Linked DNA regions of Drosophila melanogaster. The gene in region 4 interacts genetically with the main gene of each other region. Each region holds a gene or a part of one and is shown on either strand. Other genes may lie near its edges. The genes, in order: Fmr1, Abl, fra and Dscam1.

Region 1 (4,895 bases), on a different chromosome or scaffold from region 4:
AAATAATTAGCAAGGGAATGATACTACCTGGTTTTTTAGAAGGATGATCTCATCTTTTTTAACCATTAAACAAAAGAAAAAATAAATTTAACTTTCGTATTAAGGGTATTGTTGCTCAGAATTTGCTCCAGCAATTTGAGAATGACTAAACTTATTGAATTTTATTTCTATTAATATTCACACTTATGCGCGAATTCTTTATGTTACTATAATTACAAATGCAGTGAACACCTTTTATAAGGAATGTATTATCTTATTTATTATTGAAAAATTTACTTGCCCGAATATTCCTCGCAGTGTATTTTACGTCGAGAGGAAGTGACGTACCTGTCACGATCGAGATTGTCACATTTTGGCAAATAAATTTCACTTGATCCCTCCACGCGGTTAAAATTAGAATTTAAATTAATTTAGTGCCCGAAGTGACCAATTGTTGCACTGCAATTGCACCCGAACCGAATCGTTTCAAATCCGATCGCGAAACGAACATAATGCTAATTGAGCGGGACAAATTCTGGGGTGCGAGCGAGATGGCTAGATGCGAGAGGAGGAGGGGCTGTCGTCGCTGAACTTTCGCTCTTTTGTTGGCCATGTCGACGTCATTAAAGTGCAGTTAATGTGCCAAAAGGTAGAACAAAAGTCAATGTCAAACGGCAGCTGCTCTCATTTTCCTCGGCAGTGGAAAAGCGGTTGAAATAGGGGTGGTTAACTGGTGGGCAAGGGCGCGGGAAAATCAAATCAGAAACTGCATTTCCGCAACAAATCGCCGCTTGACAGTAATTACCGTCAACACGAGCGGTAATTTATGACTATCGAATTGCGAATCTTGATACCCTGTATGGAAAATTGTTATGGGATTTTAACGGAATCTGCCTGCAAATAGGCTGGGAAATGCGAAAATGGCGAGTAGAGGGTATTGCCTTTGCACAGAGACACAGAATTTCCAACTATTCACAGGCATATAAAGGATTTAATGGTTCCCATTAACTGACTGGCCATGAATTTTTATAATTTGTTGGCCCATTTTCACCACACAAATGCCTAAATGGCATGCGATTTAAATACAGGCGAGCTTTTAGACTTGCCCACTTATTAATCAAGAGTAAAGTTCACAAATATAATTCATAAATCTTATTAAGTAGTTCCAAGCAAATATGTGGTTTCATCCTAAATGGAGTACTCCGTCAGATTTCTGCTGTCCGATCCGCTGAAAATTGATGGAAATTGGATTACAAATAGACCGCACTGCACCTTTATCGGCCACTCATAATCAAATGCGTTTCATGAATGGAAGGGCAAAATAAGAAAAAAAAAATAGTAAAAAGCAAATTCAACAAGCGTGTTGACAAAAAGCGCCAGCGACGTCACGCGATTTGGGGGCAATCAAAGGGGCAAATAAAACACCGCATGTGGCAAATTGCGCCCACTGTTGACCCCAGCAGTCGTTGCAATTACATAGACAATTACATTAACATTAAGGCGTAGTGGTCAGCAGTTCTGCAAATTAAAATCGAATCGAATCAATTGAAAAGCCACCAAACATGCGAATCAATCTGCTGATGGGCTAGCAATTCAATTACGTTGTTAGCAGACAGCAAACTAAGTGAGCAGTCAATAGTGTTCGGTTCGTCGACTTCATTTAAATTTTAAATGATCTTATCAGCTTTTTGAATTTCGAATCGTAACCGCCTAGCGCGCTTAAAATACAACCCTGTTTATTGTGAACCCACAACTTATAGTCACTCTGGCAAGGCCCGGTGAGCTGTCACTTAGCAGCCTTGCCACTTTACTGTCAGATCATTTTTCTCTCGCTTTCAAACAAGCCCTGTGTTATAGAGCACAAATCATTTATCAAAAATTTCGTATCTTATTTTCACAAATTTATCGCTTGGGCCAAACACGCCCGAAATCTAGCCAAAACCATCCGAAGTGGCCAGTAACGCGCGCCGATTGTAAACGGGTGGCAACTCCAGTAGAACGTTGCCGAGCTGCGAAAGTGTGCAAAAGCAAAACGAAGAGAACGCAGCGCAGCCGAAAAAAATTGAAGCAGCACTGCACGCGATATATTTTGTATTTTCAAAGGTTAAAGCCGCATTCACAGGCATCCGCCGAGGGCAAACGAAGTGCAAAAGTGCCGGCCAGCAGTAAGTTTTCAAAAATTTGCAGTCTCTTGTGTATTACAGCCGCAAAAAGTGTTGAAAAAATTTTGCAAGAACCGAAAAAAACCAAAAAATTTTGCACATCGTCGGCGGCTGCGACGTCGACGACAGCAGCGACGCCGCCTCTCTGCCGGCAGCGGCAGCAAAAGGGAGCAGCTGAAAGAGGAAAACCGATAAAATACAAAAAGAAAAGTAGAGAACGAGAACGAGAAAAACGGCGAGCGGCTACGCAACGCTGATGTTTCTTCTCTTTGAGAAAAGCGAAAATCGAAAGCAAGTGTGGAAATTATGTGTAAATTCGATATGTAAATTCGGCATGTGCCGTTCGTAGTGTGCGTACAAATTCTTATTGGAAAAGCGTGTTCATCGGTGTGAACGAACGAACGAAGCATTTCGGCGGCGAGAGAGAGAGAAAAAGAGAGCGAGAGCGCACACGCTTGGTGGTGGTCATGTGTGTGTGAGGCGGCGGGCTCACACACACAAAGGGAGAGAGACAAAGAAGAAGAGGAAGCACTGCGCTGCTGCGCTGCCGGCAAAGCCGACGTCGCTGCCGGCTTCGCCGCCAGCTGCATTTAGTGTTTAGCTAGGAATTATCTGGCCCCCAAAATAACTTCAAAATTTTCTTCAACTATTTTTTTTATTAGTGTGTCAATATATAGTCTCCCTCTCCAGATACAAAAATTCAAAAATACCAAAAACAAAACCATTCCATATTATTATTGATTACAGGCAACATTTGAAGCAGCAGCCGCCAAGCAAAAGACTGATTTGAGTACAAGGAACTAGAAGCAGGAACGCGAGGTTTCTGCCACTGCACACTGAATTGTGAGCATACCCACCCATACCTAGCTATATCTATAGCCCTAATATCTCCATTCTTCCCCCTCAGGAGCCCCAGATAACGCGGCAAACTGCAGTCGACGGGGAAAAGTCGGGAGTTGAAGGCTGGGCAGCATCAGCATCAGCAGCAGGAGGGACAGGGACGGACGGCGAAGAACCACCAGAACCAGAACCAAAACAAAGCGGATAAACCAGGAGGCACTACGTCTGGCGATATGGAAGATCTCCTCGTGGAAGTTCGGCTCGACAATGGCGCCTACTACAAGGTGAGTTGATTCAATTGGTGGAATAAAAATGTTGGTAAGGGGGTGACAAAAAAAAAGAAGGAAAAACAGAGGAGCAAGGAGTTGGGGCAGCAGCTGCCTCAGTTTCTAATTTCGTGGATTTTAGCTTTATTTCTATTAATAAACAGCAACATTTTGAGTGGAGTCTCGACATCATCGCCACCACCACCACCACTACCACTACCACTACTACACTAATACCAGCACCATCGCCAATCTGCATACACCAACGCACTCACGCACACTGCGTTGTGGGGGTGCCGACGTCGACGTCGATGTCGATGTCGACGCGGACCGCGCCGCCCACTGCGCTGCCCACTGACGTCGTCGTGCATTCGGTTTTGTTGTTTTGATGATTTCCCTTTCTTGTCGTTGCAATTTATAAAGATAAGATCCGATTAAACCATCTTATATCGCGGTTAAGTGATTTTCGCGGATAGATTACAGGTATACGAGGTTGTTAGATCTCGAATCATTAGTCTTATGAACGAAGTTCAGTCTTAAATCCCATTCATAATGCTAGCTTTTGATGTGTTTTATTGTTCACTGTTTAAACAAATTCAGCAAAAATGTATGCTTATAGGCTTAAATTTTCCAATGATAATATAGACATTTTGGAAACCAGATAACAGTGCACTTAAGAATATTCTTATACTTTCAATTATTGTTCTTAGTACTTATCCCCATCATTAGCTAACCTATTCTGGAAACCTTCTGGATATGTATAGTAAGGTAGTGAATACTTTGCATAGCGTTGCCTTTGATTTCAGTGCTTGGAATCAAAACAAGGGCAATGCACATAAACACACTCGACTAGAGCGACTTCCCTGATGCTGATGATTCAGCTGTCGGCTGTTTGCATTTCGGATAAGGTTCTACGACTACTCGCTTATCGGAGATATACGGTTTCCCTCGCTAATGCCATTGCAATTCTCGATTTCACAATGGGACGGGATTGGGGGGACTATCGTAAAAATATATTTTATATACTTATGCATATACACACATCCGAATGGAGGTATATCATAGGCAATGGCCACATTAATGACACACATTTTTCTCTCTCTACTCCTATGCCTTCCGATGCTGGCCCTGTCAATGCTCTTGTATTTCATCCGTTTGCTGCCTGCCTGCCGCCAACAAAAAACTACAACTGCAAACTAAAAACTACGACGACGACGACAACAACAACAACAGGGCCAGGTGACAGCTGTCGCCGATGATGGCATCTTTGTGGATGTGGACGGGTAAGTTTGTTTAAACAAACAAATCTGCGAACAGGGCAAACAACAACAACTAGAGCGTATTTTCTAACTAATTTGCAACGATTAATACAATCAGAGCTGCAGCAGGAGCAGCAACAACCACCGACGCGACTTCTTGGCATCCGAATTAGAAATTAGAGATTCTGGGCACGCATCATTTGTGTCGTCCGCCATCCGCCAAACCACTTCCCGCCGAATCCCCTACTGCGGACTCACTAATTTGGCGCAATTTGTTAAACGCCAGACGCCGCTGCAGCAGTTTCTGTTGCTATTAGTTGATAAAAAAGAAAAAAAAAATGAGCCAAATCAAATAAAACTGCTGACTGACAGACTGACCAACGCCATCC
Region 2 (4,599 bases), on a different chromosome or scaffold from region 4:
AGACTCCTGCCTTCAGTTTGGATATCGCACAGTTTGCGATACTTGAACGACAGGCATTTTTGGTTGAAATTGAATTTGATTTACTGGAGAACTGTTTTCCTAAAATCACTTGTAGTTGGGGTCTGAGAACTTTGTACTTCTAAGTCTATACGCATATATATTTATAAAAACCTATATTAACGGAATATTAAACACGTGAAAACGGAATACCAACCAATAACAAAACACTAAGTTAGTCTATTGTTCCAAGATCCAGAGCGCAAATTGTTATTGTAAAGTAATAAACTGTTTTCAAATCTGTAAGAACAAACAATATTTATAACAGTCGAAAAGACGTCTGATAAAATGTTGCTGACTGACTGGATTAAGTCGAAGCATTGTCATAGTCACCAATAAAATATTTTTGAAATTTTAACATATATTCCAGTCAGTCAGTATAGTTTTAACCAGTGTGTCAGTCATGCTGCAATACAAAAAGTTCGATTCTGTTAGGGGAAGGCATTTATTTAGTTAACCTGTGTTAAATGCATTTGAATATTCCTTCAAATTTCTTGCTGCTTTTTGGTAACTTAACAAAGCCACAGAAAGTCCTTGAACGTAACAAAAAAAAAAAAAAAAAAGAACGTAAAATAATAATAACCAGAGAAAAATTAAATTATATTTATACTTGTAAGCGAACAGAACAGAAGAGATCGCATGTGAAAGAGCAAAACCGAGAAAATGAAAAGCAAAAGTCCTACTTGAAAAGTTAATTTAGTGTAAGCGAGGAAAATGTAACTGAAAATGAAATCGGAGCAGAAGCTGAAGGAGGATCGTGTGAATGGAGAGAAGGATCGATTGATACTGAACTCTAGCAGGAGAGAGAAATTGAAACGAACAAACTTGAAATTTCTGTCGGGTATACATACTAAATAATAACTAAGCAAGAACACTAAAGATTGAGAATGCTAAACAAAACCAACGGATAAATAAAACGTAACAAACGGAAAAGGATGGAAAGTATTGCAGTTGTATTTATTAGTCGGGCTAAATGGGAATTTATGAATACATCTAAAGGCATATTATAAAAACCGTAGCTTGATTATTCGATGTTTTTAAATGTCAATTACATTTTGATTTGAGTCAGTTTTCTCTTAAAATCAATAAACTAAACTAGGGTTGACGCAATAGTCGAAAAAATTCGAAGTGTATCCATGAAAAATTAAAGATAATGTTATAAGTTGCATTGCATTGAAAATCTAAAGAGAATAAACTTTTCCTAGAAAGCTATATCAAGATTCTTTTAATTCAAATTATGTGTTTTAAACGTTTGAATTTAATTTTTTTTTGAACAACCAAAAATTAGTGTTCACAATCATGGAGTTTTTAAGCACTGGCTTACTAAGCTAAGTTAACCACCCAACCAGTCCGTGTCGCGCACCCATCATATTGCATTAGCCGAGTTTCTTACCAAACTAGCGCTGCCAACGCGTTCGTAAGTACTAAGCATTTATTATCAATATCGATACGTCTATCGGTATGCTGCCAAGTAGGGTATGTTTAAACGACCGACAAGCGGTCACACGAGTGCAAGTTGGATTCCAATTCGATCCGTCGCGGTGCGTGGAAAAAATGCACAGATGTAGATAAATCAGCAAGCAACGCTAGCAGATCAGATAGAGCTATATCGTCGCGAAAACCGATTAATTTGCCATGTTCAGCGGATCAGCCTGCGGATCAATTAAACCGTAAAAAACAGAGCAGGCGAGCGTAAGCAAGAGAGAGAGGTGAAGCCAGAGGCGGAGGCGCAAGACAAAGTGCATTTTCAGGGCGTGTTTTTGAGACCCCCCTCGCCAGTTAAGCTCACCCAGCCTCCCAGCCGTCGACAAGAAGTTTGCCGACACAACATTTTACCAACATGCTGCAAATTCGCAATTGCACCTGAGCGGCCACTAGAACAACAAATCAGATAAATCGCAAACTTCCTTTTTCCTCCGTGCGTGTGTACTTCTGTGTGTGCGTGAGTGTCTCCAATCTTTTTTGTCTACTCCAAAAACGCAGAAAGAGAAAGAAAAATGTGTGCGTGTGTGTGTGTGAAATAAATTAAAGCAAAGCAAAAGGCAAAACGGCAAATAATTGAGCAAAAGGCCAAGAGAGAAGAGTTAAAGCTGAAGTATATAACAAGAAAAGCAAAGCAAATAATAAGTAGTAGTAGTAAGCGAATAAGCCGTAGCAGCAGGAGCCGAGAGAAGAGAGAGAAAAGTGTACAAGTTGTTGTTGCTGCGCAAGAGCGAAAAACCACCCAACCACCCACTGGCAAATGGGGGCTCAGCAGGGCAAGGACAGGGGCGCCCACTCGGGAGGAGGCGGCTCGGGGGCCCCCGTCAGCTGCATCGGCCTCTCCAGCAGCCCAGTGGCCTCCGTTTCCCCCCACTGCATCTCCAGTTCCAGCGGCGTCAGCAGCGCCCCCCTCGGCGGGGGCTCCACGCTCCGTGGCTCCCGCATCAAGTCCTCGTCCTCCGGCGTGGCCAGTGGCAGCGGATCGGGCGGAGGCGGTGGCGGATCCGGATCGGGGCTGAGCCAGCGTAGTGGCGGACACAAGGATGCACGCTGCAATCCCACCGTGGGTCTCAACATATTCACCGAGCATAACGGTAAGTTCCTGCAAGTGTTGGAAAACAGGCATCGAAAGCATGCTAAGTACACAGAGCAAAAAGCATATTTTCAAAATTTGAAAGCCTTGTTAAGTCAAATTAAACGAAAAACGTCTGTACATAGTGCACGCTCAATCAAAATCGTTTTTATAAAATTAGGTGTGCACTAAAATTTTGTTTTCTATTCGAAGTTATTTAGTGGTTTGATCATTTTGTGTTTCGATTTCTGTAAGCTTGACTTATTTCTCATTGGTGTTTCTTCTTTTACATTGGATCTTAGAATTATTTTCTTGCACATTGTAGTTTGAGTTAAAAAGGCATCAATCGTAGAAATCATCTGGACCAAATCGATCTGTATAAGTGTTGTGTAACATACATATAAAAGTCAGAGGATGCACAAACATGCATACATTTGGAGGTCCCATTCACTTACACACTAATTGTAAAAAATTGCATGCAGCCTCCAAACTCAGGTGTAAATTCCATCATAGTATTGTGACTTTTCTTATTATACATGGAAATTGTTGTTGCTGTATTGCCAATTGCTCAGAGTTGTGTTATCTCACATCCACCACAATCATTTCAATTCGTGATGAAATCTTTTGATATTCCATACAACAGTTTTTAAGGACATTCAAGAAATCAGTAACTAAAAACTTATTCAATGGGGGTACTTTCAATAAAAAAATGCTTTTTTAAGCGTGCTCTTGCCATTAAATCTCTTTTGTAAATATCATGTAAGTTTTGATTTATCTGCCAGTTTGGGCTGCACAGTGTTGTATTTATTGTTCATAAAGTGCAGTCCACTCGGCTTTCCCTTTCCCCCTCTCTCCTTCTTTATGATCCCCGCCCTTCCTCTATATACGCTGCTTTCCAATTGAGCCAATTTCTTTTTTCCTCCATTTCTTCCGATTATATAGGAAATTATTGTTGTTATTGCCGGCTAGTTTCATACTTGTTGTTGCTTTTCCGCTGCTTTTGTTTACTGGAGAGAAGGAGAATGAATGAGAAAGAAAAGTGAAGGAGAGAAGAGAAAAGAGAGAGAGCAGCACGCGTTGCTGTTGTTTTTGTGCTGCTTGGGGCGGTTTCAATCCGCATTCGTGCTCTCCATCATCCTTTATCCTTCGGCCTTCCTCGTGGCACCCTTATCCCTGCCACCCGCACAGTGGTTGAAATTGCGACCCACAACACCGTTATCCCACCCCCGCTGACATATTGCCATTTCCTCCACTTTTCCGCATTTCCCCTTGCATTTTTCCTGCCCTTCACGCACTCACGCACATTTTTATTTGCCTCATTTTTTTGTCTAATACTTTTCCATTATTTGCCCTGCCAAGCTGCATAATTTTTTCTTTACATCCTCCCCGTTTCCGCATTTTCCGCACACCCACTTATTGGGAGACATTTGCCGTTTCTAATAGCTTTTTTATGTCCATGTCGACGAAGTCCTACCACAATAGGACCCACAATCGGGTGGCATTCGGGATTTTCTCAAGACTACCGGAAAAACATTTGTCAGGTTATAATAGTTACGCAGACTCAGTGGTAGAACTTTTTTTTTAACAAAAAGCATAACTATGTATGAGAATACATGACGAGGGTCGTATTAATAGTAAGGTAGTTTTTTAACTTGAAATCGTGTTGCCTTATTCCCCTGACAATTGCAAGCCATTTTCGCAACAGCTGTTTCAAACTGAAAGTGGACTTTTCCGAGTTTTGATATTTACACGCGCGACAATCTGTTCCTAAATGTATTAAATCCATAAATTTGCTTAAGTTCGAAAATTGAAATTTAATCCTTTATTATTTTACTTTTTAACTTTTGATGTAAATACTTCCTTTTGCAAACTATTCATCTCCCAAACGAATGGCTTGGCCAAAGTATTGATTTTTCCTTGGCACTCCAAGCTGAGCCACTTTTCCCAGATGATTTACAATAAGCTGTAGATTTTTCTTCTTGCTCTTC
Region 3 (4,946 bases), 5.1 Mb from region 4:
GACGCTAACTTAATTTAACTTACTTTGTTGTTGTTCTCTCTCACCGGTTTGCTGGCCATTGTTGTTGCTGCCAGGCGTCGCAATTTGCTGCCTGCGTCGCCTGTCGCCGCCAATTAAGTCGGGAAATGGCCAACTATTTTAGCCGACTGACAATCAAAGTGATGGAAATGCATACTAATAATAGTAAGCCCTGATTAATCAGGTTTTTATTAACAGAAAGTACTTTAAACTCTATCTATATACCTAATTTAAAATCAAACTTAATTGTATCCCTTCCAGAATATCATAACTCATGAAGTATCACTTAAGCAAATATTCTGAACTTCCTAATGGCTCTGGATTTAAAATCTTTGCCTTTATTAGTTCTACCCAAGTTAACAACTTTCTTAGGAAGCGATTTGCAGTGAAAGTCTTTAGTGCCATGAACAATGGATTTGCCAAGTTAAACGAGAGAACCTTTTATATATTTAAGCAATTTCCATGTCCGAAGTGCATGCCTTAATTTATATATTACCACACACAGGCTTAATTCACTTAAGCGCCTTTTCGTGTCGGCACCTAAAAGCTTTGAATGGGAAGAACATCCGAATCAGAATCCAAATCACCATCAGTCGCCGCGTTTTGTGGGTGCCCAGAAGTTGCCCAACTTCAAGCTGGCATAACAGATACAGGGATGCGGATGCACATACAGATACGGATACTCGAAAGACTCGGTAGCTCGGATTAATTAAAACTGAAAATTGCAGTGGCGTCTGGTGGGGAAATGTGTGTGCTGCTTTTAAAAAACCTGCAATTAGCAGCGAAAAATCTCCGGTTCTGGTAATTTGATCCAAGTCCTCGAAACTTGACCCACATTTTGTGGGCATACGGATGATACGCTAATGAAGGGAATTTCATTTCACTTATTTTTGCGGCCTGCCAGTCCAAAAAAAAATGCCTCCCCCTTCTTTTTCACCCCGTCGTTTATTTTTACGACGCTTTCGCTTAAGCGCTGGCATTTAATGTGAAATTTATCATTTCAACGCCACGCCCCCCACCCCACGCCCAACCAACAATTTGTCGGCCTTGGTCGGATTTTTTATTGCGTTCACATTTCTCCGAGGCGAAAAGTGATATGTTCATTTTTTCAGCCTTTAAAGTTCCTGCTGGTTGCTGGTCGGCGCTTTTAAAATGAGTGTTCCTTTGCCACATGCATTTTTTTAGAGCCACAACTTTTAACCACAACCTGTCTGCACGTCGGTTGCTCGGGGGTGGCAATCACTGGCCAACTGCAAAAAATGCATTTCAAACAGGAGATTTTCCCATTGGTTTGAGCATAAAGTTTTCTGTCAAAGGATTTTTCTGAAATAACGTACTTATGAACAAGATCAGTCGGGGAGAAAGTTGAGGTACATTTCGAAAGCCATTAAAATTTTTAAGTATTAATCTCCTGTGACTCTCATAAAAAGAAATTTGTGTAAAGTAAAACCGAAAATATGTGAAATTTTAAAATATTTAAAAATATAGGAGCAAACCTTTTGAATACCGATATAAATTCATATGATTAATATCCCAACTGCAAATGTCCTCGAAATAATAATGTTTGTTGCTTTTGATGTGTAATTGACTTTGGTCCTAACTTTTGAATTACGCGCCATTTGGAATAAATTGCTCAACTGACCTTAACGCGTTTTTGGTGATGTGCACTCCAGTATCGATTGCTTTTCAATGTCGATGACAGTCATTAAAATATATTATGATTACGTTAGTAAGAAAGCTGAGCACTGATTACTACGTTACTTATGGAAACCCCTTTGTAAAATGATAATGAATTTATAATATGCAAGAATAACATGGTGCGAAAGTCATTTCATCGTCATCGATAGTAGTGAGACCATCGATAAGCATCGATAGCGGATGTGTTTTCGCATCACCCGCGCAGCTAGGGATTTTTTCGACAGTTTCGGATTTTTTTTCGGTCGTCGAGGTCGTTGCGCGCATGTATACTCTTTAGTGGCGAGAAAACGCGTTTGCCAATAGTAAAATCCATCGCAAAGAGGTAGAAAATTAAAATAAGTGCAGCCAAAATCGAAAATAAATGAAAAAGGCACTCAAATAATACATACAGCCGCTGAAAATGTGTTTTAAATAGAACTGCAGCTGCAAGTCCTGATGCCTGCCGAAGGTTAGAGCGAGACAACGCTACTTACTCGAGTGTGTGTGCGCAATTTGTTGATAGTATTTTCTGTTGTTGTAAAAATGCCCCGCTTGCAAGCGTGCAATAACAGCAACAACAAGACCTGAAACAACAACAATAGGCGGCGAATGCCGGCAAAACAAAAACGCGTAAACGATTGATGCGAATAGCGTAAAACAAGAGAATCGAAAGCAATAATCGCCCAAGAATACACAACAAAAGTGGAGTGAGTAAAAGTCGCGTGTGAGTGTTTGCGTCGCGTGTATGTGTGGGTGCAAAGGATACAAATAGAAGGCGCAATCGGCGATTGGCGGGTATCAAGAGCCAAAATGTTGTAAACAAATCGCAAAAGTCCAAATAAACCTGAGCCATTCGAATTACCTCCGATCGCAAACGACGGTTTCCAGCCAAATCAGCGAAAAGCAAACAGAATATGGCCATCACAACAAACAGAAGCAGCAGGACTTTGTGGAACTGGCTGCTCAGCAGTTGTCTCATATTCCAGCTGATTGGCAGCAGTTTGGCAAGTCAAGGTGAGAACTTCAATCTGAAATGATAAATATTTTGCACCAAAGTGCCGTAAGAGGGCTTTATAAAAATGTAGATAGTTTCTATCTTTCGCTGTGCAGGTTGTCAATTTATAATTTTAAACCAAAGACCCATGAAATCCAAGCTTAGTTGCTTACACAGAAAGACATTATCAAATTGTGTACATATATAGATTATTAAAGAGATTATAAAAGATATAAAAAAAATTTTATGAACATGTGATTGAACTTTAATTCTTGGGCTGCGCCTTAATTGCCTTCTGACAGGAGGAAATAATCTAAAACAGTGTATAAATTCGGTAGATTAGATGAGTTTATATCACTTCAATAAATATTACGATTAAATAGTACGAATAGATGAACTACGTGGTTTGTCAGCCCAGTAATTTTTAGTTCACTACACTCATCCACCATATTTTATGACACTATCTGTTACTTTACTCTTCGTACAATTCCCTATCTATGTTGTGTATTCGGGTACCATAAAGTTCGATATCTGTATTTTAACAAATATGAATGCAAGTACAGTTTTGGCGACTGGATGTCTGGTCGACGTGCCAGAAAGCAGGCATTGGGACCCACAAAAAAAAAAAAGCCTCATGTGCGAAAGGTGATGTCAACGGCGAACTGATCCGATAAGCTGTCATATTTCGCAACTCGCGCTCTTTTTGCACTCGTAAAATTGAGGTACTTTCAAAAACCCTGCCCTATTCCATCCACATGTGCCAATCACCCGGGGTAATTCACCGTAATTGCTTCCCATCATATCACCTGCAGATAAGAACTCAAAATGGGATGGTTGCGAAACCGATAGTGCTTCAAAACTTAAACATTACTAATGAGCTTCGCTTGAAACGAGATAAACTAAACACTGCACAACATGAATTGAAAACCAACGCACTTGTTTGCGATTATTTGAGCCAAAACAAACACGATTTCCTGTGAAAAAGTATTCTGAAATCGAAGAAATAGAATCCAACAAAATGGTAGCCGTAAGAGTCATTATCATTAGCTCAAAGCCAGGGAACAAGTGATCTTAGGGGATCAGGTAGGTAAGCGCAGGTAGAACCAGTGCAGCCCAAAATGCAATTAGGTTTTAGGATCAGGCACAGTTTCAGTTTTAGGTCCCAGAAGAAGATTACCCAAGATCGGTGGGCAGCTGCACAATGCATCAATTGATTGATTTGGTTTGAAAACTAAGCCAGGGGTGGCTTAGAGGCTTATCATATTTCCATTTTCGGCTGGAGAAATAAACAATCGCGTAAAATGAGGGAGGGATAATGGAAATCCCCGCAAAAGGCGCAAATAATGCAAACAAATTAAATGTCCTGCCGTGAATCTCGTCTCTGCGCCATCTTCGAAACGAGAAAGAAAAGCCACCCCTAAAAGTGAAAAGTGTCCTGGAAAAACGGGGAGCCGCCTTATCAGCTGCAAAATTTATCAACGCCAGCTCCAAGACAGCCCGAAAAAGGACCCCAAAAAAAGTGCGGTCGTAAAAAATTGTCGGGGCATGTCATATGCAAATGGAATGAAAAATCTTTGAACAAATTTTTAGGTCATGGCATGTCATAAGTCGCAGGACTTAATGCCAGATTTAATTAAAAGCATTCCCTCACATAACTTCAAGCTTTATGTGGTGGGTATGTAATTAAAAAAAAAAGAAAACAACTTTACTTACATGGGTGTAACTAGCTGAAAAGAATTGTGTGACAACAATGGACTCACGTGGCTTCACGACCACTTAGTACCGTATAATAATGCATCAATTAAGGTTGATAAGATACTATGAAAGTAAGACAAAGTTAGACATTTCCGTGTTAGTTAAATTAAATTATAGAAAAGCATTTTAATAATTTATTTTGATCTTTAGATCTATGTGGCCTTAAGACACCCTTGTGGTTTTTTCTATCTTGCTAAACAAACTAGTTGATTTTATAGAAGGATCCTACTTATACCGTGTACGAAAAACTCACGTGCGAGGTCCTGTTCCCATTTTCGTGCTTATTTGTGGCGCTCTGTGTTTTCACTTTCCTGGTCATATTTCCTCGCTCTTTAGCCCGTGAATTGTGGCAATTGTTTGATGTTGTCCTGGGCGAGTCGCCTCACCCTGGCGTTCACTGGCTTTTTCCCGTGGCCAGGAGCACATTTAGCCGCATTACGTGATACAATATATGAGTGACATGTTATTCTAATTTCGCACCCCTTTTCATATTCCTGGACAC
Region 4 (4,600 bases):
GGCCGAGGAATCCACGGCCCTGATTGAGTCAACCACCACGGCCACGGCAACCACTACGTCGACAACCACCACTGGAGCCGTAGGAAAAGTGAAGGACAAGGCCCTGGTCAGCTTCAGGCCGGAGCAGCTGAAGCGTCTGATGCCAGCTCCGACGGCCACGAAAGTGACGCGTCAGAAGAACAAGATAATTATCCAGGACGCAAGTCGTCGAAACTAAATACGAATTTAACCATTTCCAGGACGATATTATAAGGTTAAGCCAAATAGCCATATACAATTAATAGCCATGAGCTGAAATCCAGCCACTTTAATAATTAAGGCGATAATATAAAAAAATGCTTAAAAATGTATAACAGATTACTCCCATATACATGCATACATTTTAATCAATAGTCCGACATATATACCAGCTTGAATTTATTAGTTTACTGCTTGTCGTTTAACTTATTAAAGTGGCTGGAGTTCGATATCTTTTTAAGTGTGAAGCAATAGCTCAGATCCTGGTAACAAGAACTGAACAAGTTTCGTCCACAGTCATGACACAAATAGACTACAACACATGGTTCTCATTCCGGCTCTTTAGCTGGGGAGCATTTATTTTAGAAACCCCCACACGTACATACACCTAGCATATGAAAGTAACTATCCTCATGAGATTCAACCGTAAAGACTTGACCTGCTACTTAAGATACTCGCAAGACAAACCGTACACAAAACTCGCTCAAAGTGTTGACCTAAGTCTCCGCATTGTTTAACTTGTACATAACAATAATTATTAGGTAACCACTTAATTTTAATTGATTTTGTTAGTTTTAGCTTAGTTGTAAACACTATTGTGTCTTCCCTCGAATTTTAATTGACCTTCGATACCAATTACAACATACGTACTCCATACCCAAGTGTTAACCTTTAATATTCTATCAAAAGCATTTACTCTGTACAACTTATAAATGCTTCAAATCGCAGTATTTGCGCTAATCCAATACTCATTTTGCATTAACTTAAAATTAAAATTCAATACTGTTTGGTTGTGTACAACGTATTTTTTATTGTCCATTGATATAGATGCAGTTTGCACTGTACTCCGAGTAACTTAAATTGATATTAATGTATGTATGTTCCCTCAATATCAGCGTGTGAAAAATTATAAACACATTTGTAAGCATACATATTCCGCCAAATCGCTCGGCATGGCTTTGTGTGGATATTGTTGGTTAAGCAAATAAATATATACAAACTAAACTAATCAATCAGTGTTTAATCAGTGTTTTATATTCAAAATAAAATAGTTATCGTCTTATAAAGATAATTAAGTTCTACATTTGCAGCTGAAATCCAAGCAAACACAGTCCACAAGGCAACAGGTGAGAAATGTCCCAGAAATTTCCCAAACAATCGCCCCTTCGGACACACACACACACAGAAAGCGCAAAGAGAGAGGATGAGAGGGAGAGAGAGAGAGCGCCGGTTTAAGCGTTGTATCTAAATCCGATGGCGAGTATCTGAGCATCCGATTCAGTCTTGTTTGGACCGTCGAGCGATCGAGAACCGGATTTCAGCGCTAGTCGGCGAATCGCGAGAGCGTGCGAGTATTTGTGTGTGCGTGTGAGCGTTTGTTTTGGGACACCGATACGGATACGGGTACGGATAGACGGATATACGGCAGCGGTACGCGATTAGCAATCCGCCAACCGGTTGCAGCGGTGCTAGTGCACCACCCTACAAAAAAGTGAATAATAGTATGCAAAGTATCTGAAAGATAGTCAAGAGCAGAGCAAAGTATCTGTGTTTGTGTGTGCCGTGCTTTTGTGCGGAGTCGCCACCCCCGTGGATTAGTGGCACCCTGCTGCAAATAGCCCACCACTCTCACAAGTGTGTGTGTGTGAGTGTTAACAATTAATCGCATTTAAAAAACAATTTGGCCAGCCGCAGTAACAATAACGGTAAGAAAAGTCGGCGGTACCGTTGGGAAATTTTCACCGTTGTCTGGCAACTTCTTTGTGCCCGTCGTGTATGTATAGGTTGGGTGCAGAAGTGTGCGTGAGTCCTGCCCACGCCCACCGAGTAGCGCTAGTCTGCGAAATCAACTGCAGGATGCTGTAGGTTGATATTTTATCGGTTAGATGATAATAGTCTTTGGTCTTCCTTATGATTTTTCGCCAGACGTTAAGTTTTTTCAATTTGGGAATGCAAAAACGGTTACTTTATGCACCGTATCACATCACACACACTTGCAAAAGGGTGTGAAAATGTACTGCCATGAGGGAGGAAATATGCATGTTCTACGACTCCCAAACAAGTTTCATACTAAATTTCCGAATGTCTTGTTTAGTACGTAGGGGAGTTTCTATATATTTCATGCTACTTTTTATTTATAAATCGAGTTTTAGAGGAAATAATTGCAGTCCCTGAATTTTCAGCGATTTTTTTTCGGCGCATGCGCCCTTGGAACCGCAGAAAAGCAACTCTGTGATTACCGTTGTATTCGCTTGTGCGTCCATTCGTGTGTGTCAGTCAGTGTGTGTGTGTGTGTGTGCAACCTGTGCCTCCTGCCGCCAGGTCCTTGGTCCTTTGTCGCCGTCAGGTAGTTTTCAGCTTTCCCTACTCAAAACGCTTCATTCTCAAGAACCTCTTAAAATTCTTCGCAGTTTCCATGTGGCACACATACGTCGCGATCCTTTCAGCGCACATGTGTGTGTGTGTGTGAGTCCTGATGTTAGTGTTGTTTCATCCCCTGCTTGTAAAATCACTGAAATCCCGTGCAGCTGCCTTCGTCCTTTCCTTGCTGGTGTGTCTGAAGTTTCCACTATTTGATTTTGCAAGTGTTGCACTACCCTCCTCCTCCGCTTCCTTCTGCGTCTGCTGGCGATATACTTTTTATTTTCCTGCTTCTTTTTCTGGTTTTTCGTCGGCTCGCCATCCTGTTGCTAGGCGGTTTTCCCCACCAGTTGGACCAGTGCCAATTTTCCATGTGACTCCCTGTTTTCAGAGCAATAAAATAGTCAGTGAATTACCTATACACCTATGAACTTGCAGTAATATTATTGAATAGTATTTTAGGCACTATTGATTTAATTTTTTTTAATTTCTGTTTACATTGATACTCCGCTTAATGTAAATTATTATACTTATTTTACAATAACTAATTATTTATTTACCCACATGAATTACTGGTGTCTCCCTTTAAATGTACTGAATAGATCCTGGACATTTTTTGAAATCGTTAATAAGCTTTTCTGAAAGTGCTCCACTCGTTGAGCGAAGTGCTCAATGAGTTTTGGCAACCAATAAAATCAATAAATAAATCCAATAGTGTGCCATTTTATTCACACACATTTCAGATAAGTTCTAAGTTGTTTTAGTGATGGTTACTCCACCCACTAACTAATTTATACACAGCACGCTGGTGGTTAAACAGATTTACTTTGGCCGCTCTCATCGATTTGATGAGAATGCACTCATCGGGTCGCTTGTGAAGGCAAATATTGATTTCCACTTGGGCAGCAACATGACACAGCGGAAAAGGTTAAAGTGAACAAAGGACCGAATAAATATTTCCTTTTGTTTCTACTGCCGCCGAGAGCACTTGAATCTCAATTAGGGCCGCAGTGCGGAAGCTCTGGGCGCGAATGGGTCACAGCAGCGTTTCTGGACAATGGATGTGTGTCCTCTGCCTCCGCCGACGACCCTGCACTGGGCCACTGCCCTCAGTGCCCACTGTGCCCCATCCGACCATTCCTGCGGCACCACCCTTCCTAAATTTATTGGCTCGTCACCCCAATTTAAAGTTACACATGCAGCCAGACGGGGCAACAAGAAGAATACGAAAGGCGAGCATGAGTAATATTAAAATGCTTTTGATTCGTTGATTTTACCACGCGATTGACCAAACGGATCCGCTCACCGAGGGTTGTATCTCTTTATGTAGGTACATTGTATATGGTATAGATGTATCCGCACATATGTTGCCTATACGGATGCCTGGATCCGTTGACTGATTACCAGATGTTTTCCAAATTGCTTCAGTCGAGCATCAGTTGTCGGTATGGGAAGCGAACAATTTCTAAGCTGAAAGCTCAAGGAGAGATGTATTGATGAGTCATTACTCGAATATTTACGTGCTGTTCGGCAATTTTGGGCAAATTACTTTTCCATTTATGATTTATCTATTTATTTTTTAAACAAAAATCTAAATTCATTGATATACTTGATGGATTAGAAAAATGCACATGATTCTTAAAGGAACGTGATTCAATTAAAATTTGCAACCATTTCTATATGTGGATAAACTTCTTCGTCTTCAAAGTGTGTTTTTGATTAGCAAATACATTTCAAAAATAATTAATATACATAACTATTTTCCACCATCCGCATTCCTCTCTCTAATTCTAAACTTTTCTGGAATACTTAGTAGAGTCAGCTTAAAAGGGAATTTTTCGGTTAATAAACTCGTGGGTTTGATGCCACACCCCTGATGGAATAGTTTGGCCACCCCAGAGCCTTTGATGCAGCTGTTTCCCTGCTGCAAGCTACAGTCTGTTCATTAGGCCAATTGAAAAGCTAACATGGGTACAGTAGACCCTCCACCAACCCCCGATTT

The links.
Region 1: of Dscam1 (region 4) and Fmr1, changing one suppresses a phenotype caused by changing the other (phenotypic suppression), as found in Drosophila melanogaster (2 studies listed by BioGRID).
Region 2: of Dscam1 (region 4) and Abl, changing one suppresses a phenotype caused by changing the other (phenotypic suppression), as found in Drosophila melanogaster (one study listed by BioGRID).
Region 3: of Dscam1 (region 4) and fra, changing one enhances a phenotype caused by changing the other (phenotypic enhancement), as found in Drosophila melanogaster (one study listed by BioGRID).

What each region holds. Positions count from the first base shown.
Region 1 is NT_033777.3:10,107,065-10,111,959, reverse strand, and holds the start of Fmr1 (fragile X messenger ribonucleoprotein 1), read left to right. Parts: upstream 1-1,838; 5' UTR 1,839-2,144; intron 2,145-2,351; exon of another isoform or gene 2,352-2,436; intron 2,437-2,736; exon of another isoform or gene 2,737-2,888; 5' UTR 2,889-2,984; intron 2,985-3,048; 5' UTR 3,049-3,070; coding exon 3,071-3,265; intron 3,266-3,617; exon of another isoform or gene 3,618-3,730; intron 3,731-4,480; coding exon 4,481-4,530; intron 4,531-4,895. UniProt on the Drosophila melanogaster protein: Polyribosome-associated RNA-binding protein that plays a role in neuronal development and synaptic plasticity through the regulation of protein synthesis of mRNAs.
Region 2 is NT_037436.4:16,644,844-16,649,442, reverse strand, and holds the start of Abl (Abl tyrosine kinase), read left to right. Parts: upstream 1-1,560; 5' UTR 1,561-2,299; coding exon 2,300-2,633; intron 2,634-4,599. UniProt on the Drosophila melanogaster protein: Arm and Abl proteins function cooperatively at adherens junctions in both the CNS and epidermis; critical for embryonic epithelial morphogenesis regulating cell shape changes and cell migration.
Region 3 is NT_033778.4:12,527,118-12,532,063, forward strand, and holds the start of fra (frazzled), read left to right. Parts: upstream 1-1,935; 5' UTR 1,936-2,609; coding exon 2,610-2,709; intron 2,710-4,946.
Region 4 is NT_033778.4:7,378,814-7,383,413, reverse strand, and holds the start of Dscam1 (down syndrome cell adhesion molecule 1), read left to right. Parts: upstream 1-1,544; 5' UTR 1,545-1,943; intron 1,944-4,600. Other genes in the region: cos (costa), read left to right, coding at 1-217. UniProt on the Drosophila melanogaster protein: Cell surface receptor involved in guidance and targeting of growing nerve axons.